7 linked regions of the Canis lupus familiaris genome follow. The protein of the gene in region 1 interacts with the protein of each later gene in a pairwise test. Links are inferred from orthologs where the notes say so. Each region holds a gene or a part of one and is shown in the gene's direction. Other genes may lie near its edges. The genes, in order: TRIM54, MYO5B, TTC23, CCHCR1, NGLY1, LNX1 and TBC1D22B.

What was found.
Region 2: the proteins of TRIM54 (region 1) and MYO5B interact in binary tests that used the Homo sapiens proteins (3 or more experiments, as listed by UniProt). The two-hybrid records come from large-scale screens. The link is inferred for Canis lupus familiaris from reciprocal best matches to the Homo sapiens genes TRIM54 and MYO5B.
Region 3: the proteins of TRIM54 (region 1) and TTC23 interact in binary tests that used the Homo sapiens proteins (3 or more experiments, as listed by UniProt). The two-hybrid records come from large-scale screens. The link is inferred for Canis lupus familiaris from reciprocal best matches to the Homo sapiens genes TRIM54 and TTC23.
Region 4: the proteins of TRIM54 (region 1) and CCHCR1 interact in binary tests that used the Homo sapiens proteins (3 or more experiments, as listed by UniProt). The link is inferred for Canis lupus familiaris from reciprocal best matches to the Homo sapiens genes TRIM54 and CCHCR1.
Region 5: the proteins of TRIM54 (region 1) and NGLY1 interact in binary tests that used the Homo sapiens proteins (3 or more experiments, as listed by UniProt). The two-hybrid records come from large-scale screens. The link is inferred for Canis lupus familiaris from reciprocal best matches to the Homo sapiens genes TRIM54 and NGLY1.
Region 6: the proteins of TRIM54 (region 1) and LNX1 interact in binary tests that used the Homo sapiens proteins (3 or more experiments, as listed by UniProt). The link is inferred for Canis lupus familiaris from reciprocal best matches to the Homo sapiens genes TRIM54 and LNX1.
Region 7: the proteins of TRIM54 (region 1) and TBC1D22B interact in binary tests that used the Homo sapiens proteins (3 or more experiments, as listed by UniProt). The link is inferred for Canis lupus familiaris from reciprocal best matches to the Homo sapiens genes TRIM54 and TBC1D22B.

Annotation. Positions count from the first base shown.
Region 1 is NC_049238.1:21,336,859-21,340,358, forward strand, and holds part of TRIM54 (tripartite motif-containing protein 54), read left to right. Parts: intron 1-2,664; coding exon 2,665-2,837; intron 2,838-3,354; coding exon 3,355-3,500. UniProt on the Homo sapiens protein: May bind and stabilize microtubules during myotubes formation.
Region 2 is NC_049228.1:79,088,776-79,092,275, forward strand, and holds part of MYO5B (unconventional myosin-Vb), read left to right. Parts: coding exon 1-114; intron 115-1,709; coding exon 1,710-1,790; intron 1,791-3,500. UniProt on the Homo sapiens protein: May be involved in vesicular trafficking via its association with the CART complex. The CART complex is necessary for efficient transferrin receptor recycling but not for EGFR degradation.
Region 3 is NC_049224.1:41,888,863-41,892,953, forward strand, and holds the start of TTC23 (tetratricopeptide repeat protein 23), read left to right. Parts: upstream 1-1,291; 5' UTR 1,292-1,424; coding exon 1,425-1,476; intron 1,477-2,568; exon of another isoform or gene 2,569-2,583; intron 2,584-4,091. UniProt on the Homo sapiens protein: Participates positively in the ciliary Hedgehog (Hh) signaling.
Region 4 is NC_049233.1:987,770-991,269, reverse strand, and holds part of CCHCR1 (coiled-coil alpha-helical rod protein 1), read left to right. Parts: coding exon 1-68; intron 69-2,371; coding exon 2,372-2,535; intron 2,536-2,638; coding exon 2,639-2,774; intron 2,775-2,936; coding exon 2,937-3,047; intron 3,048-3,226; coding exon 3,227-3,376; intron 3,377-3,500. UniProt on the Homo sapiens protein: May be a regulator of keratinocyte proliferation or differentiation.
Region 5 is NC_049244.1:18,435,003-18,438,007, forward strand, and holds part of NGLY1 (peptide-N(4)-(N-acetyl-beta-glucosaminyl)asparagine amidase), read left to right. Parts: intron 1-2,321; coding exon 2,322-2,499; intron 2,500-2,874; coding exon 2,875-3,005. UniProt on the Homo sapiens protein: Specifically deglycosylates the denatured form of N-linked glycoproteins in the cytoplasm and assists their proteasome-mediated degradation. Cleaves the beta-aspartyl-glucosamine (GlcNAc) of the glycan and the amide side chain of Asn, converting Asn to Asp.
Region 6 is NC_049234.1:46,800,672-46,804,171, reverse strand, and holds part of LNX1 (E3 ubiquitin-protein ligase LNX), read left to right. Parts: intron 1-1,754; coding exon 1,755-1,957; intron 1,958-3,500.
Region 7 is NC_049233.1:6,546,618-6,550,387, forward strand, and holds the end of TBC1D22B (TBC1 domain family member 22B), read left to right. Parts: intron 1-1,291; coding exon 1,292-1,420; 3' UTR 1,421-3,270; downstream 3,271-3,770. UniProt on the Homo sapiens protein: May act as a GTPase-activating protein for Rab family protein(s).

The DNA of each region.
Region 1 (3,500 bases):
TAGTCCAAGTGAGGGAGTAAATGTTCATTTTCTCCACCATATTTACAAGAAATTCTTGAGGGTTAAATTCAGTGATGCCTGGGAAGCCCATAGCGTGGTGCTCAATACATAATAGGCCCTCAAAACATGTGTCAAATGTTAAATAATGAGTATGGAGAAAGGGGGGAGACAGTGTGGGAGGAAAATAGGTGAAAGACACTACTCAGAAGTTTGTGCTCTGCCCTAAGACTTTAGAATATTGCCCCCTTTCCAGCCATTCAAACATTCACTGAGCACCTTCAGATGCTAGCCACCAGCTAATCAAAGAGAAGTAAGATCCCTCCAGGGTTAGGGTTCTCCCAACACATCCTTACTCACTTGTATTATAAATAATGAAAGCTAATTGTATTAAGCAAAAGCCAGGTGTTCTTACACTTTAACCCATTCCCTAAACTAAACTCAGCAGTATTGATACAATTCTAGCTATGGAGAAGGACAAAGGCACAGACACAACCTTGGATAATCTCAAATTAAACCATTTGGCTTTATGATGGCCTGAAGTGTTAACTTCTTATAATTTACAAGAAATCCCCCCAAAATGTGACATTTGTGGCATGCCAGTCACTCTTGCCAAGACAGGTTTGCGCACTTCACAGGAGCCACATTTCCTGCCTTGTCTACATCTCTTGCTTTTAAAGGTTCAAACAAGACCGTGGACTTGGATGCCCTCTATGTATTCTGGGTGCTGTCACACACACATAAGGGGCCCTCTGGCTGATAACCAGTATAAGGATTTGGAGAATTTCATCAAACTCACCCACAGGAAATACATCTAAATTTTCAAAGTCATAGGTGACTATTTTCTTCATTACTCTCTCTGAGTCCATGGTCTTCCAGCCAGTCAAGACTAGGTCCTCCAGTAAATGACAGAAAACCCAAAATAGCACTGGCTTAAGGAAGCTAAAAATGTGTTTCTTCTCTCAAGCAGAAATATAGGTAGGCACTCCAGGACTGCTTCATCAGAGACTCACTTCTTTTATCTTGTTGCCATTGTCATCATGTGACTACCTCCTGGCTCAACATGGCTGCTTCAACTTGAGCCATTCCATCTTCATTCCAGCCAGCAGGAAGGAGAAAAGAGTAGGCGGTGCCCCTCCCATTATAGACACTTCCTAGAAATGGCACAAAACATTGCTATCTACATCCCAGAATGCAGTCGCCTGGTCACACTCAGCTGGAAGGGAGGCTTGCACACACAGCCTTTATTCCATGTGTCTTGGTTAAAAAATTCAGAGGCTCTATTATTGAGGACAAGGTGAATATGGAAGAACAAGAAGTCTCTGCCAGTCTCTTATCTCTGCTGCTGTCCATAGTGGACTCTTTTGTCTTCTCTGAAGACCAGCTTTTCTGTTCACACTTTCTGACCTCTCCCACTTTCCACTTCCACTTGCACAAGACTACAGGTGGCCACAGTCAACTTTTTGCCTAACTCCACAGGTCTTTTCAGTTTCAAAGCTGCAAGTGGTCTAGCCACCGCCACTTCCCAGTTTCAATTCCAAATTCTGGAGAGCAAATTTGATTGGTTCTGCTTGGATCAGGTGATCACTTTCTCAACTCTGAGCCAATCATCTGTGGCCTGGACCGTGGCAGGGTTCTTGCTTTTAGGATGGGATGGAGCAAGTTCTCTTAGAGGTGTAAGTGATGACCATCTCTTGTAAATCTTCCTTCTGAGCTCACTCTTTTTTTTTTTTTTTAATTTTTATTTATTTATGATAGTCACAGAGAGAGAGAGAGAGAGAGAGAGAGAGAGAGGCAAAGACATAGGCAGAGGGAGAAGCAGGCTCCATGCACCGGGAGCCCGACGTGGGATTCCATCCCAGGTCTCCAGGATTGCGCCCTGGGCCGAAGGCAGGCGCCAAACCGCTGCGCCACCCAGGGGTCCCTGAGCTCACTCTTATCATACATAATACCCAGCTTGCTGGATGTAGTTGTCGGTTTGCTGGGTTTGCTTGCCTTTAGGGCAGGGATGTGTTTGTTTATATCTTATCCCCAGGGCTTCACAATTACCTGGCATGCTTAATATTTGTTGTAGAATAAATAATTCAATCTAGTCCTTAATTTTACAGAGATTGAATGCTTGCTCAAATTTACACAGTAGAACAGTGTTAGGGGCAGCAGTCCTGACTCAGTCTCTAAAATAGTTTCCTAGAATTACCCAGCATGACATGGCTTGTGTGCCCCATTGTTCAGCATTTGTTTCAACTTCCCTGCCAACGGCTCCAGAGAATCTCCCCCAGATGTGGTCCAAGAGAGCCTCAGGAGGACATCGCCTGCACCACAGAATCCATTTCCAATCTTGGCCTTCCTGTCAACATCAGTGTCTCCCCACATGTGCAAGCTGGGCCTTTTTGAAGAGATTCCATCCTGACTGGGCCTTTACCAAAGTTAGGCTCTGGGTGCAGGGATACTTAAGAAGTAATGAGGCAACAGTGGGAAATAAGATCTCCATGGCTACCCATCTGAGCTGCTCTCAGAGGAGGAAGGCCCCGCCATTGGAAAGAGCTGATGTCTCCTCTTCCACCATTCTCCTGCACCTCAGCCCTTTCCTGACCTTTCCTCCTGCCTCCTCCCTGTTCCCTCATGCCTGCCTCACTGCCTGTTCTCTCATGCTACTTGTCTCTATAGGCCTCGAACCCTCTGTGGCAATCCCGGGGCTCCACCACTGTGTCTTCAGGAGGCCGTTTCCGCTGCCCATCTTGCAGGCATGAGGTTGTCCTGGACAGACATGGTGTGTATGGCCTGCAGCGAAACCTGCTAGTAGAGAACATTATTGACATTTACAAGCAGGAGTCTTCCCGGTGAGCTGTTGGGACCTCTTGTCTCTCTAAGGAGCAGGGCCTGGGACACAGAGGGGGAACTCATCAGCCAAAAGGGAAGGGCTGAAATGACCAGCCTGTTTCTTTAGTTTAGAGATAAGAGTGCCGGACCCTAGGAGGGGGAAGGACTTGCCCCAGGTCACCCAGCTCAGGGGTCTCTGATCCTGGTCATGCTTCCCTTGCACCCTCTCCAGCTGGGGAGTGGCTGGTGGTCCACCAGCAAAGTCCTTGCCAGCCCTCTGTGACGTCCTGCCCTGTGAGACTTCCTTGCCCCCTGGAATAGAGGCTGTTCTCGAATCTAGCTCTTTGTATTCCTCTAATGAAGAGCACTATGGAAGTCACTCACCTGCTCAGCCCCAGCCCCAGCCCCAGCTGTGACTGGTAGCTGGCAAAGGCTGAAGAGAAGGTATTCCTGGGGCCCCACAATCGTAGGACCCACCTCTCTCCAGCCTGGCCACTGACCCTTGACCCTTCTGCCACCCTGCCCGCTCCCCTCCAGGCCACTGCACTCCAAGGCCGAGCAGCACCTCATGTGTGAGGAGCACGAAGAGGAGAAGATCAATATCTACTGCCTGAGCTGTGAAGTGCCCACCTGCTCTCTCTGTAAGGTCTTCGGTGCCCACAAGGACTGTGAGGTGGCCCCAC
Region 2 (3,500 bases), on another chromosome or scaffold:
GTCCAGACTCTGGAGCCTCTGATCCAAGCAGCTCAACTCCTGCAGTTAAAGAAGAAAACCCCAGAGGATGCGGAGGCCATCTGCTCCCTGTGCACCTCGCTCAGTACCCAGCAGGTATGTGGCCCTGGCACCCCACAGCCCGCCTTCCTTTCCTAGGCTGTTCCCCCTGGCAGCTTGTGTGTGTGTCCATGGTGCTCCTGCGGCCTTTCTGTGCCCCTAATGACACAACAGAAGCTGTCGCAGATGGGATGTTCTCTGCGAACCAAAGACTGCCTTGGTCTGGGGAACGAGATGCCACCGTCCCCCCCATAACTAACTTTCCAGGCCCTCTTGCTCTCATAGAGAGATAAGGTAGCAAACCCACAAAACATTAAGCTTGGATAAAAATGTATTTTTGTTTTTGTTTTTAGAAAGAGCACATGTGCAAATGGTTAGGGGGGAGTGGGGGAGGCAGAGAGTCTGAAACAGGCCCCGTCCCCAGTGCAAAGCCAACACGGGGCTCCATCTCATGACCTGAGCCAAAAGCAAGAGTCAGGCGCTTCGCCCACTGAGCCATGGATCTCCAGTCACCCCTGGTTGGTTGGTTAGGGTAAAAGCATTTTTTTAAACACAATGAATTTTGGAATGTTTCTCACTAGAAATTTTAGATTTTGTTCAGAAATGGGCAGCATCATGCTTTTGGAGTTAAATAAATCACTTTCTTTACCACTATATACTCGTTATGGCCCTGTTTTCACTTAGAATCCATTAACATAATTTTAAACAGTCATTAAGAACCTAGAAGCGTTTAAATGTGCCTTTCCTCCCTGCCGTCCCCTGGCCAAATTGTATTTAGACTAGGACTCAGTTGCAGAGATGTTACCAGTCTATCAAAAGATAAATCTTATCCCCTCGCAGAGAGACCTGCCCTCCATCAGGAGTGTGTGTATTTAGAAATGAGCCACTGTGGAGTGACCTCACAAAATGCAACTAGCATAAGGAAAGGAGAGTTTCTACATTAACTCATGCACCTTCTTCTCCCTGTCCAGCCTTACAGCATGAAATCCAGTCTCAGTCTCGCAAACATACCCCTTTCCTTACCTCCCCGCTCACCACTAAAAGATGAAATGCCAGACTCTTAAGAAAGCTGCTTCCTATAAATGTGCTGAAAGTTTTCAATTTGTATCCCCCTTATTTTGCTTTCAGTTTACTTCCAGAGTTCAACTGGTATTGTTTTGCATTGGGACAGGCTACTCCCACCAAACGATTGTAGGCAGATAGGAGATGATTCTCTTGTTCAATTAGGAAAAATTGTTCCTTTTATAAGTGATTTTGGGGTCATGGGAGGTGGGGTCATGGTCAAACAACCTCTTGTTATCTAAGGTAAGATCTCCAGTGCTCTTTAAGAGATCTTTGAATTACTGGTAGATAAGAGGCTGAGGGTTTCAGGCAACAGTTTCCTAGAATCATTATATTATAAGCCAGGAGCCATTAGGGCAGGTAGGGATGTAGGAGACAGGAATGCAACAGGAGGGCTCAGATCTACCAAAGCCCCTGGTCTGTAGTTTACGGACTGTAGACTCCTCTTCTCAGTATCATTCCAGCTTCAGGGTGTGGGTCCTGCCTAAAGAAGATTGAGTTCTTCTGCCAATGTCCTATATTCTTTGAAATCCAAACATTGTCTTATGTTCGTTTAGCTCTCTGCTAAGCTTTTGTTTGTATTCCAACAGATTGTCAAAATTTTAAACCTTTATACTCCAGTGAATGAATTTGAAGAACGGGTAACTGTGGCCTTTATACGAACAATCCAGGTGAGTTTTAGAATATTAATGAATTCTATAAAATCCTGGTCCAAAACTAGTATCAATTTTATAAACTTTGCTTCTCTTTGTAAATAAAGCTGGTTATGGGGCAGCCCTAGTGGCGCAGCGGTTTGGCACCGCCTGCAGCCTGGGGTGTGATCCTGGAGACCCGGGATTGAGTCCCACATCCGGCTCCCTGCATGGAGCCTGCTTCTCCCTCTCCCTGTGTCTCTGCCTCTCTCCCTCTGTGTCTATGAATAAATAAATAAAATCTTAAAAAAAAATAAAATAAATAAAGCTGGTTATGTTATATGCCAGAAGACCTCAGGTTCTCAGGCTTTCCCTTAGTAAATACTACCCATAAATCACTTACATATGTACACAAAAGACTGAACTTTATCACTCTGCTCAGATTTTAGACATAGTCTAAGTATTATCTGCCACTAGCATGTTATTGAATTATAGCACCAAGTGGAATTAACAAAGTAAGCAGAGTATCAACCCCACCCAGGAACTAAAGAAATATTATTTTAAGAAAACAGTTTGAGCTCTTCAATCTTGTCTCTAAGATGTATAGTTTTGCCCTTAGGAATATGCTTGAAAGAAAATATATTAGGGAAATGATTATTTAAATCTGTCTTGAGATGATAGGATTTTTTTTTTTTTTTTTAAAGATGAGCTTCCTAAAGCCCAGCCTTAGGTGATTAGGCCTGAATACCTGACTTTGTGTGTGACTGAAGCTGACAGCACCTGCATAATGAATCACCTCAAGCTGACTCATAAAATGGTCCAATGGTGATCATCCCTCCTGTTGCTAGATGTAGGGAACATCTTGAGGAGATATGACACTTTCTCAAACATCTAAGCCTCTTTAGCCAGCAAAGTGTGTGGTAGCAACATATGAAAACAGGCGAAAGCAATCAGAGGAGTCAGGAAAAGGGGAATTAAAATGAAGGTTTATCAAAAAAAAAAAAAAAAACTCAAGATTCTTGAGAACATATGGGGTATGAGAAGCTAGTCCCCTCTGATGTGTGCTTGGGATTTTGTTCAGGGTGCCTTACCGCATTTCAGTGTAGCGATCCAGAGATTGAGAAAGTCGGCTACGTCAAAGAATACATGAACTTTTTAGCATTGTGTATACGTAGAGAACAGAGGCTGAAGGCCAAGGGAAGGATGGTGGTCAGTGGGAAGGTGGTTTGTCTAAAGGCAGGGGAGGAAGAGCAGTGACACACAGACCACAGAAGAAAGCAGGCAGAGATTGAGCAGCACGGGGATCAAGAGCGTGGTGGGGCGCTGACTGGACAGATCCAGTTAGGACTCAGCCACAGTCAGCTACTGGAAGTGGAGGAAGAGTCTGCTGACAGAAGAGAAGCCACTGCGCTCTCTCTCTCACCATGGATTTTACATGAACCGGCGTACAAGTTCAGAAAGTCTTACTTGGTGTTGAATCTCTGAGACACACATGCAGAGGGAGAATTGGAACTGCTCACATGCTGGCGATGGCACTGTTTAGGAGGAGAGTCAAAAGTCACGCCAAAGGTTGAAGAAGTTTTGCCATATAAGATGTTGGCCTTGAATTAAGAGCAGAAGGAAAAGGTAGCAGAGGTCGGTCACGAAGCCTCTGAAGATCTGTGTGGTCAGATTTGGAGTCGCCTTCAGCTGCCCATTTCAGTGGCTGGCGACACTACCAAAAATTTCGTTTTTTTTGTTTTTGTTTTT
Region 3 (4,091 bases), on another chromosome or scaffold:
ATTCAGTTTTGGTTTATTTTGTGTCCTCTGGCCTTGCTGAAATTGTTTAACAGTTTTAGTAGGATTTTGTTGTTGTTTTCATTTTGTTTTGGGGTGTGTGTGTGTGTGTGAAGATCATGTCAACTGAATTGTGTGTGTGTGTGAAGATCATGTAAACTAAATTTTTTTTTCTTCCTTTCTAATCTGCATGCCTTTTACTTTTTTCTTGCTTTAGTGCACTGGTTAGAATACCCATTAAGTCTTAAATACAAATGATGACAGCAAACATCCTTGCCTTGTTTCCAGTCTAAAAAGAGAAGCAGTCAAACATTCACCATTAAGTGTGATGTTAGCATTAAGTTTTTAAAAAGTTTTTATTGGCCCTTTATCAGATGAAGGAAGTATCCTGCCATTTTTTTTCTGCATTTATTAATATGATCATTCAGTTTTTGCCCCCTATTCTATGAATATGGTGTATTACATTAGTGATTTCAGATGTTAAACCAACCAGCTTTATTTATTTATTCCAGGGATAAATCCCCCTTGGTCATAATATATAATCTTCTTTATATCTTGCCTGATTTGATTTTTCTAATATTTTGTTGAGGACTTTTTGTGTTCAAAAGCATCATGGATATTGGTTTGTTTTCTTATTACGTCTTTGTCTGGCTTTGGTAGCAGGATAATATTGGCCTCACAGAATAGAGTTGCAAACTATTTTTCTGATAGAGTTTGCAAAGATTCATATTACTTCTTTAAAGGTTTAGTAGGATTTACCACTGAAGCCATCTTGGCCTGGGCTTACCTTTATGTAAATATTTTAAATTACTAAATTATTTGCTTGTTATAGTTCTATTCAGATTTTTTATTTCCTTTCAATTCGGTTTTGATGTTTTGTATCCTTCCAGAATGTTTTTCCACTTCATAGCTTGCTGATGCCACAGCTTACCTATGGGCAAGGTTGCTTTTTAACCAGTACACTCTCATACGGTCATAATGGTTGTTGTTTCCCAGGAGCCACTGCCCTGGGGGCTCCTGCCCCGCCCTCAAGCTTCCTACATCCTCCCCCAAGTCAGCCCCCAAGGGTTAACACCTGTAACAGCAGGGGACCTTCTGAACCTAGTTCCAGCATAGTTGCCATCTATACAGATTGGTTGGTCCTCCTGCTAAACCAGTTTTAAATTGTTGAACATCACCTCTTGAAATGGAAGACTGAGACCCCACTTCAGACCTCTTCCTCCTCCCATTTTGTTCTGAGGCTGATCATGTGCTTCAGCATTCTACTGAACAGGTCTGGCAGAAGGAATAGCATCAATTGATTGGATATGTCTGACTGGCAGTTGTGGGAGCCGATTGAGAGGCCTGGGAAGCTTTACCCAAGGCTGGCAGGGAGAGGGTACTGTGTGGCCCTGGGCTGATTTCTAATGAAAATTTAAGCCCCACCTATGGCTATTACAAAGAAAACAAAAGTGACTGATGATAAGCATGTAGCTCCAAGTAAGTGAACTGAAGAGGATGTCTGTGCTAAAGATGTTACTATAAGATGCAACACACATTGACACAGACACATATTTAAAGCAAGGTCATAGATTCACATGTTTCCAAAAGCCAGGCAGGTACCGTGCCTCATTTAATTGGCAGAGATGCACATTTTGGTGTTTAAACATCTCTGAAATTGGAATGCATGTTACCGTTGATGGCAAGTCATAGTTTAATAGCTTTGTGGTTTTATTCTTAGTGGTTATAGGATAGTGATGTATCTGATAATCTTATATCAGTGATGGCTCAGATCAGATTACATTTAGGAAACGAGTGGCAAGTGGCATGGGCTAGGAAAGCCATATCCCTTTATGTCAGCCTTTCACTCTGAAAGAGAGGTATGGTTACAGAGACCTATTCTTTTACTATAAGGATAAAGCAACACAGGAGCAATGACAAATGGCAACTACTTTGGTGCCTCCCTGTCCAGGAGCAATAGGGAGTGGTGGCAACTGGCAATCGCCACGGCTTCTGCCATTCCCCCCTGATGGATTGTTGCCTGTGATGACATAGGCTCAGTATTTTTTTTTAATATTTTTTTTCAATTTTTATTTATTTATGATAGTCACAGAGAGAGAGAGAGAGAGAGGCAGAGACACAAGCAGAGAGAGAAGCAGGCTCCACGCAGGGAGCCCGACATGGGACTCGATCCTGGGTCTCCAGGATCAGGCCCTGGGTTGAAGGTGGCGCTAAACCGCTGAGCCACCCGGGCTGCCCGATAGTGTTGTTTTTATAGGAAGCCAAAAATCTCAAAAGCCAGATCCTAAACCTTCTAATTTTAAAGTAATGGCTTAATTTTTTTTTTCCCCTTTCTGGCCAAAAAGAAAAAAAAAAAAAGCATGTGCAAGTTAGATCCAGCCTGTGAGTGCTTGGATTAAAATGGCTCTTTTAAGGATTTAATATTTTAAGAGGCAATGTGAGACAAACCACTTGTTACAGTTAAGCCGAAAAAAGAAAGAAAAATCCGCTCAATTTCAAAGTTTAGCACTAGGTTCAAGGCCCAGAGTAGCAAATATTACAGAGCATATTACTCACATAGCTTCTAAAATTTCTTCTCTGCCTCCCCTAAGTAGAAGATAAGAAAGTGTGGTTAGATTTGTTGAAGATGTTACATTTCCTTGTTATAAAAGTGTATGATTACTTTTTAAAATGCCATCTTAGGTTTCCAAAGCAAGAATATTTGCTTCCCACTCCTAAAGACTGGTCAATGAAAGTCAGAATGATGTGGTAGGAAACCACCAAATTCTTAGACGACTGGAGTCCTGATTCTGCCTGTGTGACATGGGGCAAGTAATTTAGCTTCTGTCAGCTTCATTGTCCTCAGTTATAAAACAGAGATAATCATACCTGTCTCCCACATGGCTATGGCAAGGGCCACAAAAGATAAAATATGGGAAAGCATAAAGGGTTATGTAAATACCAGTTGATATTGCCCAAATCATGTGAGTAGTTGGACCAGCACAGATTTTTGAATCTCAGATTCCCAAACCCAATCTCCTGCTCTTTTTGTAGACCATAACACTTACTGAAATGATCAAATCATCAACTAGTGGGCTGAATAGATGAGAAAGCTTAAGTCAAGAGCTTGTTAGAAAAAAAGTCAGCCACCATTTTGGCATCAGAGATAGCACGGAGTCTCTGTACAGCAGGGTTTAGGGAAAGCTTAAATGTTGAATCAAAAGATGAGCCTTCCACGTTTTGAAGGGCTACCCAAGAATGGTTTTGCTGGGATTGATTGGCCTCTGAAGTTTTCTCAGACTGGCCTTCAACCAATTTCTTCCCTTTCTCATGTTTTCATTCTATATTGTCTCATGAAAGAAAGAAAAGTTCTGACTTTCTTCCTTCTTGGTGAAAATGTAAAGCTCTATTTTGGATTATTAAGGGGTGGCCACCTTTACCTTGGTAGGTAGGTCCAGGTTAACTGCTCAACACTTAACCTCTAGACATCTCAAATTCTATTTGTATAAAGGCATAGAAGGTTACTAATTTTTTTTAAAAGGAAAGGAAAAATATTATCTTTAAAAAGATGTCTCTCAGGACTAGTGATATATTTTTAGCTTCTTTTTTCTTCTAAAAATTTTTTAAAGTAAGCTCTATACCCAACATGGGGCTTGAATTCATGACCCTGAATCAAGTGTCACATGCTTTACTGACTGAGCCAGCCAGGTGGCCCAATATATTTCTAACTTCTGAGTTGGACATTCTTCTTCTTTTTTTTTTTTTTTTTTGAATTGGACATTCATTTTTTTTTTTAATTTTTTTTTTTGAGTTGGACATTCTTATAGAAATTTTCTCCCATAGCCTCAAATTCAATCTGGCTGAGACCAAATTGATTATCTTATCAAAAGGATAATTCTCATTTATCTTGTTACTTCTGTCCATGACATTACTGTGTTTTAGGGGTCAGTAAACTTTTTCTGTAAAGGGCCAGATAATAAATACTTTAGGCTTTGAGAGCGATACGGTTTCTATCACAAATACTCACTTCTGCTGTTGTAGTACAAAAGTGGCCATAGATAAGATGTAGATGGATTAAAAGGGCTGTGTTCCAATAAAGCTTTATTTATGAAAAC
Region 4 (3,500 bases), on another chromosome or scaffold:
TCCGAAAGAACCTGGAAGAAGGGAGCCAGCGGGAACTGGAAGAGATTAAGAGGCTGCACCAGGAGCAGGTGAATATGGGGGTGAGAAGGGTTCAGTTCCTGCTGGAGGAACTGGCCAGAAGCTTCCTAGCAAAGAGCAAGTTTCACAGAAAAGTCCCCATGACCAGTGGAGTAATAAGATGTCTGGGGAAGGTGAAAGACGAATTTGGGTGTTTTGGTCTTTGTTCAGTAGGAAGTACTTTGTGTTCCTGCTTCACTCAGGATACCCACTTCATGTGGGAGCATTGTAAGGGTGGTGAGGAGGGTGGGAGAGGTCTCCTGAGGTGGACTGGGGAAAGGAGAGGACTCATTCAGCAAGCATTTCTCAGTGCTACCTTTTGCCATCTGAGATCTGTGTGGGGACTCTGGGGTGGGCAAATCAGCCTGAGTCCTTGTGGGTGGAGCTGACACCCAACTGGGGGACTTGCACATTCAACACCTTATGTAATCCTAATTAATTAATTGCAATTGGGAGAAATGCCAGGAAGGAGAAGGACAGGAAGCCCTAATGTGGACAAGGGCATTAGGGGAGACCATCCTAACCAGTTGACATGTTAAGAAGTGAAACCATAAAGATACTGGAAGAAAACATGGGTGAATTCCTTTTTTTTTTTTTTTAAAGATTTTCTTTTTTTAAGTAATCTCTACACCCAAAATGACCCTGAGATCAGGAGTTGCATGCTCTATCTACTGACTGAGCCAGTCTGGTACCCCTGGTGAATTCCTTTATAACAGATTGGTGAAGGCTTTTCTACCTATGAGTTAAAATCCAGTCATTAAAGGAAAGATGGATACATTGGCTTTATAATTTTAAAATTAAGGATGTGTGGCGCAGCTGAAGGGACAGGTCACTTGACACACCCTCTCACTTGACTCTCTCCCTGTTCATCCCCCCCCAACTCCTGCCTCCTTACACAACGGATGGTACTTACCCACCAAAGATCTCTTGAAGAGTTACCCTATGTACCGGGAAAATAGTCCTGAACAAACACAATGACACAGTAAAAATGACAAAGTAAAATTAAAGAACAGATGATAAAAAATATTTACAGTTCATATCGTGAAAAAGGCTAATATCCCTAACATATACTCTGTGCCTAGAAGTTGATAAGGGAAAGGTAGCAATCTAGCCAGAAAATGGACACAGCAGGTAGTTTAAAAAAAAAAATGGCCTTTAGGTTTATGAAAGATGCATCTTGATAAGTTGTCATTTGAGCTGAATAGGAGTTGGCTGGTGAGCTGGCGACACTTGGCAGCCTGTGGGGCATAAGGAGGCCAGAGGGTCAAGGGGTATGAGTGTAGAAGAGGGGGGGTGCCCTGGATGGTGTACGCACGGGGAGTCCTTGGGGCCTGTTCAGAACTTTGTACTTTACCTTGAGAGCAGTGAGCTCTGTTTTTGTTATTTTAAGATTTTATTTATTCATGAGAGACACAGAGAGGCAGACACAGGCAGAGGGAGAAGCAGGCTCCATGCAAGGGAGCCTGATGTGGGACTCGATCCCGGGACTGAGCCAAAGGCAGCTGCTCAACCGCGGAGCCACCCAGGTGCCCTGATGAAAAATTTTTAAATAGACACTGTCTGTGTCTCTGCCTCTCTCTGTGTGTCTTGTGAATAAATAAATAATCTTAGGGGATCCCTGGGTGGCGCAGCGGTTTAGCGCCTGCCTTTGGCCCAGGGTGTGATCCTGGAGCCCCGGGATCAAGTCCCACGTCGGGCTCCCAGTGCATGGAGCCTGCTTCTCCCTCTGCCTGTGTCTCTGCCTCTCTCTCTCTCTCTATCTCTCTCTGTGTGTGACTATCATAAATAAATAAAAGTTTAAAAAATAAATAAATAAAGATTTAAATAAATAAATAATCTTAAAAAAATTTTTTTCATCTATTTGATAGAGAATGAATGGGGGGAGGGGAATACAGAGTGGGACAAGGAGACTCCCCACTGAGCACGGGGCCTGTCTCTAGCCCCAATATCATGACCCGAGTCAAAGTCTGACGCTTAACCAACTGAGCCACGCATGCGGCCCCTGCCCCAGAAGGCTTCTGAAGACTGGTCAGGAGTTTGTTGGTATTGTGCAGGCCAGAGAGGAGGGTGGCTTGCTAAGGTTGGAGACAGAAGTGAAGATACATTTAGTGGAGAGAGACCTGGCAGGGACCGCTGACAGAATGGCAGGTGGACGGAGGACAGTGGGGCACCAGGGACTGTCTCCATTTTGCCACGTTGTTTTCTAAGGTTATGGAAGGTGGGATTGCAAGGACAGGGTCTGAGCGGGAGTGGATTCAGAAAGTCCAGATGTGGGAGTGAGCTGGCCCCTCTGTGCCCTCTCTTCTCTCCACAGCTCTTGTCCTTGACACAGGCACACCAGGAGGCTCTTTCCAGTTTGACCAGCAAAGCTGAGGGCTTGGAGAAATCTCTGAATAGTCTGGAAACTAGGAGGGCAGGGGAAGCCAAGGAGCTGGCTGTGGCCCAGAGAGAGGCCGAGTTGCTACAGAAGCAGCTGAGGTAAAGTGGGGGTGGGCAGCAAATGGGATCCGGCAGGCGGGTGGATGTGGCGGGTCTCCAGGGTGCCTCACTGATGGCTGCCCGGTTCCCATCCCAACCCCAGCAAGACCGAAGAAGACTTAGAGGCACAAGTGACCTTGGTTGAGAATTTAAGGAGATATGTGGGGGAGCAAGTCCCTCCTGAGGTCCACAGCCAGACCTGGGAATCGGAGCGACAGGAGCTTCTAGAAACAGTGAAAGTGAGAGAGTGCGCCTCTGTGTGGGCTGGAGGTGGGGTGAGAAGGCTCAGGGATCAGATCCTGGGAGACGGGTGGCCCCTGAAAGCAGTTGCTGACAAGGGGTGGCATCAGGCTTGAGGGCCTGCAGAGCAGCCGCTCCCTCCTTTGCACTTCCTCCTGCAGCACTTGCGGGAGGACCGGGATGGCCTGCACACCACGGCGGAGCTGCTGCAGGTGCGTGTGCAGAGCCTCATGCACATTCTTGCCATGCAGGAGGAGGAGCTGACCAGGAAGGTAGGCCCCTTGCCTCCAGCAACTCCCCGAGGGTGGGAAGAGTTGCCGTGCTGCCAGAACCTTCTGGGACCTTCTCTTCAGTGAAGCCCTCTTCTTGCTGTGGCTCTTGTGGCTTGGGTGGGACAAAGAAAACAAAAAAACAAAGCCTGGGCGCACTTCTGGCCCTTCCTCCAACGCAGGTCCAGCCTGCAGACTCCCTGGAGCCCGAGTTCAGCAGGAAGTGCCAGGCCCTGCTGAAGCGCTGGCGGGAGAAGGTGTTTGCCCTCATGGTGCAGCTGAAGGCCCAAGAGCTGGAGCACAGAGGATGTGTGGCGCAGCTGAAGGGACAGGTCACTTGACACACCCTCTCACTTGACTCTCTCTCCCTGTTCGTCCCCCCACCAACTCCTGGCTCCTTACACAAGGGATGGTACTTACCCACCAAAGATCTCTTGAAGAGTTACCCTATGTACC
Region 5 (3,005 bases), on another chromosome or scaffold:
CGCTTCAATTATCAAACTGTTATATTCTTAGTAACTTCCACCTATAAAAACACTGAATTAAAATTAGTATATTGTGAGAAAAATATGACATGAATTTTCAATATCAATAGTCTATTTTGTTTCCATATACTGTTTCTTTAGCCTGAGAGACCTTTTATTTTCTTACAATGTTTTGAATGTTTATTTAAGCATTTAAGAATTCAGTGATGAATTCTATCCTATCCTTTAACTTTTTAGAGTCTTAAAGCTGATGCCTTTAGGACTGAAAAATGTAAATTTTAGAAGAAGCAATTCTCTCAGACGTGTTCAGCAGCTATTATAAACCTATGACGGTTAAAACCACAGTTGTGGCCTGGACCCATGTGGTATAATTAAGACAACTCTGAGGGTAAGCTAGGAATTTGAAACTAACCTGACTTCAATCTGTCATATTTTATGCCCACACTTTTTGGGGGAGGGGATCATTTGAAACTACTGAGTTCTAAAAAGACAACAAGGCATGAAAAAGTATATACTGAGACATAAATCTGAATGTGTTGGTCTTTGGACTACTTTTCCCCAGTCTTTTAGTTTCTTCCAACCACCTTTCTTCCAATAACCTACTGTTCAGCTCATCTTTTCCAGTTAATCCCCTATACTAGCCATGTCTTTGAAGTAGTAATTAGGTTATAGATAATCCCCAGATTTGCCAGTAGTTTGGGATAGATGGAACCAATGACTCCCAGGGAGCATTGGTGGAATTCTCAGCCCCAGGTTCTCCTTACCCACAGGTGTAAGAGGAGCACTGCAGTAGGAACAGGTAGGTATTAGAGGAGGTTATAGTGAGGTCGTCCTAAACTTAAGTGGAGCAATCAACACCATATATCTAGGTATGCCCTCTAGTGCAATTGTTGATTATACATACGTAGTCTGAAGAGATCAAATAGTTTTCCTTGGGGAGTGATTGTTTTTAGTTGATAACCTCCAGCTCACTGATTCTAAAAAACTTTCCAATTCAATTAGCTGACATATTTAACCTGGAAGAAAAACTATAGGTTGTGAAATAGAATATCAATAGACTGCTAGCAGTGATTGATTTTTTTTTTTTACTTGATGACTAAAAACAAGTAGTAGGACATTTCCATGACATATGTGTTATATGGTACTTTTGTTGCTCTCAACAAGTAAGTTTGATGTTTCTGGAGGAATATATGTATATGCAGACTTTTAATACTTAAATACTATTTATTAAATCCATGTGAATCCAGAACTGGTGACCCCAGAAAAGTTAAGATTTGGTTAAGATCATACTAAGTACACCTGAAATAAAATAGTTACATTTGGGTAAAGAATTATTGGCAGTTCAAGGTGGAGTGAAATTCTGGAGGACTGTTAAAGATGAGAGTTTAGATTTCAACCCAGTTACTTGCTATACATTCTAGACCATGCAAATGACAGGAACAAAGTGGGCTTTCAAAAACATTAATTAGGCAGTTGGTGAAAGATGAGCATGGAGTCATGACTGTAGTGGTAAGTGCAGTATAAATGAGGAAAGGGTTTTTTTGAGACTTACTTCAAAGAAATGCATGAGTTGTTTTGTGAGTTTGAGCATCTGGGATAACTGATTAAAGAGTCAGATTCTTGGGGGTTTGAGCCTGGGTGAATGGAGTTACTTGTGAAAGGCCAAGGCTGTGGATGTCAGCGTTCACGTCCACATCTTCAAGAATGTGGATGAAACTGAGAGAAGATGAGCTGGAAGTAGCCAGTAAACTTGGATGCCTTAAATAGTATACATTAAAAGTGGTAAGGGTGACTAATAATGAAGGAATGGGAGCATATTATTTAGAGAGGCAAGCATGAATACTATATTTTAAACTACTAGTTAACGATGACTTATTTTCTTAACTTAGAATATATAGCCCATCTCGCTCTAGGAAATCTTATCTAAAAATCCAGATTTAGAAAAGAAGATAAAGAATAATTGTATTTAAAAGGATTCTTCATTTTCACCAGGATTCATCCTAAAGGTCATATGAGATAGCTGGACTTAACTAATTTAAAAGAAAATTTGATTTACCAAAATTTGGTTAGCATGCCCCCCTTAGGGCTATACTTACCAGTGCACCTGTATCCAAGTATTTTTCTTCCAAACCAAAATATACTATAGGAAAAATTGCTGATGAAATGCAAAATGTTCACAGTGAAAATCTTCTCAGTGAGGAAGAAATTAGATTTTTAATAATTTGTATATAGTACCCTACAACAGTAAGACTTTGACTATATGTGTTTTCTGCATTATTTTATTATTTATAACAATTCTTTGTTCCCCTCCTCCTTTGTAGGTATATTTAGCACGAAGGGAAGGATCATCTTATGCTTATATTTCCTGGAAGTTCAAGTGTGCATCAGTTGGCCTAAAAGTAGATAATGTTTCCATTAGAACAAGTAGTCAAACCTTTCAGACTGGAACAATACAGTGGAAATTGCGATCTGAAACAGCCCAAGTAGAACTATTGGGCGGTAAGCATTTGACTAGAGAATTAATCGTGACGTGTATTTAACACTCTGAAGAATAATTGTACTTGAGTTGCTCATACCCAAGATTCATTCATAGTACTGCAAGTAAAAAAAAAGAAAAGAAAAAAATTAAAACTTGTATAACCTTATTCTAATAAAACCACTTCTGTTTTTTATTGTGAAATACAAATGGATAAAGAAAAACCATTTCTTTTGTTTCGAAGGACATATTTCCTCCATAAGGGATAATTTGTATTTATCTTTTTAAGGGTTGATTTTACCTACAGGTTAGGTATATAATATGTATTCCAAAACTATTTCTTTATATTCTTTAAGTTACCAAAAGCAAAGTATTAATTATTTTTTTTCCTCCAACAGATAAAACTCTTCGCTCATATCATGATTTTTCTGGTGCCACTGAAGTTATTTTGGAAGCAGAATTAAGCAGAGGAGATGGTGTTGTTGCTTGGCAACACACCCAGCTGTTTAGACAAAGCTTAAATGACCAT
Region 6 (3,500 bases), on another chromosome or scaffold:
TTTTAAATCGCCATTGCCTGTCACCAGACCTGTTCCAACAAATGCTTATGGTAACGCCTACTTAATGTAATCAAAGTAGTTTAAACATTAATTGAAAGCAATCACCCAAGTACTGTTAGCACCAGGAACTGACGGATTAAGGCCGCTGCCCACAGCCTGCCAGCAAAGCCAATCTTACATTAAATTACATCCCAGCGGAGGTTAAGGACGCGCATTTGCAACGTCTCAGGCTTCCTCTGGCTGCTAAATTGCTTTGTTGATCATGTCCTACGGTACTTTGAAGTCATTTTAATTCTTTCTGTATTGTTCCTGGAGAGTTGAGCACTTCTTAATGAACTCATAGTTCATTAGGGAAAATGGACTAAGGTCATGGGTTTTGAAAACAGGGCTCATTATGCAGAGCCAGACCTGCTGTTTCCCCCCTTCCCAGCTGACTTAATGAAGAGAGAATCTTAGGGCAGAGGCAGCTGTCGGCAGCTAGAGGAGACAAAAGCATCCCGCCCACCGCATCCAAACTCAGCAACCAGGGAGGAGCCGCCGGCGCCACCAAACCAGGTGCAGCCTGCCTGGCATCCCACGGTGCCCCTTCTGCACACTTCTGTGCAGACAGTGCTGGCTTATGGGTCTCTCCGGCGAGTCCCCCGTGGGACCCTTGTGAATCCCTGGTTGTTCCAAAACCCCAGGGAGGTGACAGGACGGCAGGTCACCTGGAGCCCTAGGGTGTGACTGGCTCTGACGGCCACCTTACATTGCAGCCTCCAGCAGACCAGGTCACTTCCCCACTCTCAGCTCAAACGCCCTCACATGCAGAATAAAGCCGCACTATGGTGTCTGTTGCTGTTAAACCAGACGACTAAGGAAGCTCTTCTGCATGTGGGCCCAGTGGTGGGGTCGGGTTGGGGTGGGGTGCGGTGGAGGCTGGTGTTGAAGGGACCCGGGAAGGATTTCATGGGGAAAGAAGAGTCTTCCATTCAAAGGTAAAGTCTGAGCTCTCTGCATCTCCTGTTAGCTCTGAGTTCAGCAATCCCGCCAGAGCAGGGATGAGCCTCCAGATGCCACCACCTCTCCTTGGTCAGGGATCGGGCTGGCTGACTTCCCTTTATTGACAGCAATGTCTGGGAGGGAGGCCTGGGAGTGCCCTGAGCCTGAAGAGCAGGGACTGCCGGGGAGAAATCTTCAAAATGGCCTGAGAAAGCAGAAAAGCTGGTTTGGTCTGTTCTGTCCCTCGACAGGGAGGCGCTGAGCCTGTGGTCTCTCCCTTAGTGACCCTTCGTCCTCATGCACCCCTCCACCCTCAGGAGGCTCTGGCCTGCGCTCGTGATCTGTACACACAGCCACAGGACAGCTGCAAACAGTGTCCTCAGAGATCTTAGGGTCCCGGGGGAGGATGAATGAAATGAGCATGAATGACAACAGAGGGCTCAGTGCTGGGGAGAAATACAAGCTTTTGGGGTGGGGGGTGGGGGGCGGAATGGGATGTTTGGACAGAGCAGGGCAAGAGGGACCAAGGTAGAGCTTAATTGAAAGGGATCATTTCATGCGAGTCTTGAAGGAAAAATTGGGTCTAGGCCTAGAATGAAAAACATTCCAGGCAGAGAAACCGATGCTGGCAAGGAGGCAGGAAAATGGAAAACATGTATGAGGAACGATGAATAGTTTAGTTTGGCTGACACCAAGGTTTGGCAAGAAGAGGAGGGCTTGGAAATGTCTGCCGGGTGGGTGTCTTAAATAAATACTGTCTTTGTCCATTTTAGTCTTTCCAAGGTTGTATCACCTGATTCCAGATGGTGAAATTACAAGCGTCAAGATCAATCGAGTGGATCCCAACGAAAGCCTCTCCATTAGGCTCGTGGGAGGCAGCGAAACCCCACTGGTCCACATCATCATCCAGCACATTTACCGCGACGGGGTGATTGCCAGGGACGGCCGGCTGCTGCCAGGAGACATCATCCTGAAGGTAGGCCGCAGTCGTGGTGGGGCCGGGAAGAGGGGGCTTGCTAAAATCCCTTCGGAGCAAGTCAGCGGATGGATGGAGGAAATGCCAGATGGATGGGAAGCGGTCACTTTCTAGGGTTGTCACGCCGATAGGGCTCTTTCCCTGAGAGTTGTCATTTAATGGAGATAGGTCTTTGCCCCTTCTGTCTTGTCCTTATAGCCTCTGCCTCTTTCTGGGTAAGAGTATTTCTGTCTCTGTCTTCCCCTCCTTCCTCGTCTCCCCTCCAGCTCCTGTCCCTGCTTCCCTTTCTCTACCTCCTTCTCTTCCTGTCTCCTTCCCAACCCCTCCTCCCACTTGAAGTAACCATAACATAAAAGAATATGAAACTGGAGCATCTATTTGTCTTCTCGTATTGTTTTTAGAGCAGGTTAATGGAACATGTCATCTTGGATCTGGTCACTCCCTTTCACACACCCCCCTTGTGGGAAACTTCCTGTAGCTTAATGGCCCTCCATGAGAAAACCCAAAAGGTGAGGCTAAGCTATTCCCACCAAGGCACTGACCTTCCAGGGCGGGCAGGAGGTGGAACAACACACCCTGGGCCTTGCTGTGCTCAGGGGCTTGGGTGAGAGGAAGGATGCTAGGGAAGACTCTTGAGCAGAAAGGACAAAGGGAGAGTTGTTCATCACACAGAGGTCGGACGTGCGGCGAGAGTGACAAGGAATCCCTCCCTGGCTGTAGACTCCCTGTCTGATACCCAGAGAAGAGTTTCATCCCGTTCAGGGGCCAGCTCCTGATACAGCGTGAGCTATTTCTCTGCCAAAAAAAAAATTATTATTATTATTATTATTATTATTATTATTATTATTATTTGGAATAAGAAAGCATTTAAAGCAGCGATCAAACCTCCCCCTGGTCTCTGGGGTAAAGCACAAGGCCGGGCCCGTCAACCTCTAGAGACAGTCCACAGTGCAGTCAGTGGACTCTACGTGGCTTCCCTCCAGAGGGAGGGAGTTGTTCTGCCCGGGAGGGTCACATAAGACATTCTGATTCTTAGGGCCTTCAGGTGGCCCTTGCAGGCCAAGGGCTGCCAGGACTGTCCTGCAGATGACCCCGGCCTGGGTGTGATGGGGGAAACGAGACACAGGATACATGACAGAGCGGAGCAAGGGCTTTAAGCTCACCTGTGCTTGGATACAAGTGGTGAGGCTTGTCTGTGCACGCGAGCCTTCATCCATCCCTGGAGAGGCAGAAAAAAAAAAAAATGATGATTGTGTCCTGCAGGAAGACCTCTTAAAATCTCACTCTGAGCCTCCTCTATCAATTGGCTGCAAGTACAAGAAATCCGACCCAACCACAGAAGTTCAAGAAGGCTGTCTCTCTCCTGTGGGGCCCCGGTCCTGCAGACCCTGCGCAGAGTGTGGGGCTGCTGCGAGATGGTTTTCTTGCAAAGCAGTGACTCCCGCTAGGGGCTGAGCCTTCCGGCTGGGCCTGCTTAGCCAGAGTAATTAAAACCAGAAAGCCCCATGGGGCATCAGCCCTGCAGATAATTAATGAGGCACAA
Region 7 (3,770 bases), on another chromosome or scaffold:
GAGGCAGAGACACAGGCAGAGGAAGAGGGAGAAGCAGGCTCCATGCACCGGGAGCCCGACGTGGGATTCGATCCCGGGTCTCCAGGATCGCGCCCTGGGCCAAAGGCGGGCGCCAAACCGCTGCGCCACCCTTCGGCACCTCTTGACATATTGAAGTTATATGTAATCAAGTCTGCCTGTCTCCTTATGTCTCTGGGTTTTGTCTTGCTATTTATAACATGACTCTTGACCTCAGGGCTGTGGGTTCAAGCCCCATGTTGGGTGTAGAGATTACTTAAAAATAAATAAGTAAATAGACTTTTTTAAAAAGGCAGGGAATGGATAAAGAACACTGAGTAGCAGCAGCAGCAGTGTAGTGACCTAAATTATAGAGACAACCTCTCATTCTCTTTTTATTCTAATATCCTCTTTAACAGGCTGTCTCTCTGGAGCTGTTTGAGGGACCTGGGCTTTGAGAACAGAATAGGATTGAGATAGGTAGAGGAGAAAAGAGAAAGTCTCCCAAGTTAAAGGAACAACATAAATTAAAACCATGGATGCACAAATCAACCCGGCTGAAATGGACCTAGCTGGAGGAGGCATGGGCATTAGAAAATAAACTGGACAGGTAGATTGAGGCGGTCTCTGGAGAATAGGGCAGAGGCTAAATAAATACAATTAGAAGTGAACCCTGGGATTGGGAGGAATGTAGCAAATGCAAAAGGATACACATTTATGAATATGAATAAAGGGGTTTTTTTGAATAAAGTTTTTTTTTAAGGAAACAAATATCTAACAAAAGGTAAATGGTTGAGTAAATTAGAGTATAGCCACATGATGGGATACTAACACTGACAATAGTCATTTTTTGAAGGCTGCATGGAAAAACACTAAAGTTATAGTAAAAGGAGATGATTAAAAAGCATATAAAAATCCTAACTATTATCACAGCTATTTAAGGAAATAGGTGTGTGAGAAAAAGGCTGAAAAGAAAAACTTGAAAATAAAGAGAGGTGTAGTTGGATGATGCGTGATTTTTTTTCTCTTTTTAGATACCTTTATTTGTTGGTGTCGTTCTCTGTTTATAGTATTTTTAAAAGAGGCAGGTGTTAGTGGATACGAGAGAATCAACAGAGGCTTTTCAGAGCTTCCTGAAGGTGAACTGGGAGTTGGGGGCTGAGTGCCGCTTGGGAGGAGGGAGCTGACCCTATGGGATGTGTGATCCAGAAGGAAGGGACCCCCCTTCCAGGGCCTGCTGATCCCTTGGTCTATAGTACCGGCATGATAAAAAGCTTCTTTTCTGGCCTTCCAGGGTCTCCTGATGCTGCTACAAAACCTACCTACGATACACTGGGGCAACGAAGAGATTGGGCTGCTTCTCGCTGAGGCGTACAGACTAAAGTACATGTTCGCTGATGCCCCTAATCACTACCGCCGATAGGTGCTGTCTCCTCAGGGGGACCCAGACTGTCCCCATCTCTGATGGCAATCTGATCACTGTGGCCACTGTGCGAGCCGTGGACTCCGGCCAGGAACCACTCCTGCTGTAAAAAGCTCACATCCGCCGCCCAGGTCTTAACTCTGGCGTGCCTGTCCACCACTCCACGTCTCTGGATGTGTTTCTTGGACCACTCTCAGTATTCCATGACATGTGGATGGGCCCAGCTCTGGGAGAAGACAGGAAAGGAGGTACAGGGTTGTCTGCCCCTTTAAAAGAAACTGGACAAAAGAAGGGGAAGGCTCAGGGATTTGTCCCTACATGGGCTGACTGTCTCTCGCCTCCTGGCCCCTGACTGATGCCGTTGCTTTTTGTGACATAGTTTGATTTGATCACAGGTCAAAAAACGCCTTATGTTTTCAAGACTCCTGCCCCCGCCCCCTCCCATCCTAGCCCTTCCCCTTCTGCCCTTGTCTGAGCCAGTGAGGGGCAGCTTCAGACTGTTGTCCTCAGATGGAGGTACCGATGCTTCTAACTCTGGGAAGAGGCCTGCACCCAAGGGCTAGGAATTTTCTTTTTCCTTTTCTCACCAGATGTCTGTGTGTGCCTGCGTCTGTGTGTATATGTGGGTGTACACACCCATCAGCATTTAGTTACACGTATCCAGACCAGCCCCATGACAAACAGCTGGGAAGGGCCCCGGTGACCAAGTATACAGGCGTCCCTTGAGAAGGATCAGGGCAGGGGAGGGGGGAAGGGGCCTTATACCTCTACAAACCCTTTTTCCATGATGACCCACTCCAAGATATTATGTGTAAATTGTGTTATTATGTATATGGGTAAAGATGTACAAATATATGTCCTCTTTGTAGCAGATATGATTTTATATTTATAATGTGCATCAACATGTGAAAGCAATCTAGGTCACGAGCACAGAGGAAGTTGCCAGGCAGGTGCGTTTGGCAGCTCCAGGTTGGTTTCTGGGTGCCCTCCGGTGAGGGGAAAAGTGGGAGTCTGCCAAGCGCAGGCCACCGAGCAGATGGAGCTGCTTCGAGAGTCGGTGGCGAGTCGGTGGCGGCTGTCCCGAGCATCAGTGTCTCAGAGTGTTCCTCTCTTCCCTCCCCAGCTCTTTGTGGAGCATCTGCCCCACTCCTTCCCCGTGAGGGGTGGACAGAGCCCCCCCACCTCTCACTGGAGCCCAGCCGCCTCCCAGAGAGGTGGCTCCAGAGGCAGAAGCCCTCCTGCATGTTTTCAGCCCTTCCCTTTCCCCAGGAGGCTGGGGGAGAGCCTTTGTCTTTCCGTTTTAAGTCAGCATCATATTCAAGACAGAAGCTGTGACTGACTCATCCGTGCCAACGAGAGGGGTTTTCTGTGTCTCCCTGGGGTTTGGGGCTCTTCTCAGTGAGAGGCATCCAGGGTCCCCCACTGTCACCCTCATACCCCACCCAGCTCATGAGATGGGTGGCGCCTGTTTGATTTCTGGAGTTCCGTAGTGGAGGGGCAGTGGGGGTATGGTGGCAAGCAGCCGTCATTCTCTGGAGAAGCCGGTCAGTGTCCCCGGGTGGGTGATACCTTTGAGTCTTTGCCAGTGAAGCTCCACCACGCTGGCATGTTACATTCTCATCTGGAGCTGTTTCTCAGGCATTCTTCCTAACCGTCTCCTCTTCCCCCTCAGTGTGCCTCAATGGTCTCCTTCACAGAGTGAGAGGGCTGTGGCCCTCCATCAACCGGACTAATTAAAGAAAGACACCTGTGTTCCCAAGTGGTGGTTTTATTTTTTTAGTTTTTATGTTTGTATGGAAATTGTGGATAAAGTGAAAGAATTGTAAATAAATAGTGTATTTCCTCCTCCACTGCTGATTTTTCACCCATGGATTTGTATAACCTGGAACCAAAGGGGTCCCCATTCCTCGGGTTTTTCTTGCTGGTATTAGTAAGGGTTAGGGGACAAGTCCTCTGTGGGGCAAGCAGGAGATCAACAGAAAATCACCAGGCAGTCACAGAGGACTGAGCATCTACTCTGTGATGGATCCTGCAGAAAATACAAAAATGAACATGGGACCTAACCACTGACATTTATAGAGTACCTTGCCACGTGCCAAGCAAGCCCTGTGATAAACACTTGAATGGTTTCTTCACCCAGAACTTCTTCCTATGACTCCTTTGAGAGTGTTGCTTAGTTTCAGTAATCAGGATCTATATTAGGATTACATTCAGCAACATGCAGCACAAACCAAAAAATAATCGTGGCTTACACGACAGAGGAATTTACCAGGCACCTGGGTGGTTCATTCATTCAGTCAAGTGTCTGACTTCAGCTCAGGTCATGATCTCAGGGTCCTGGGATGGAGAC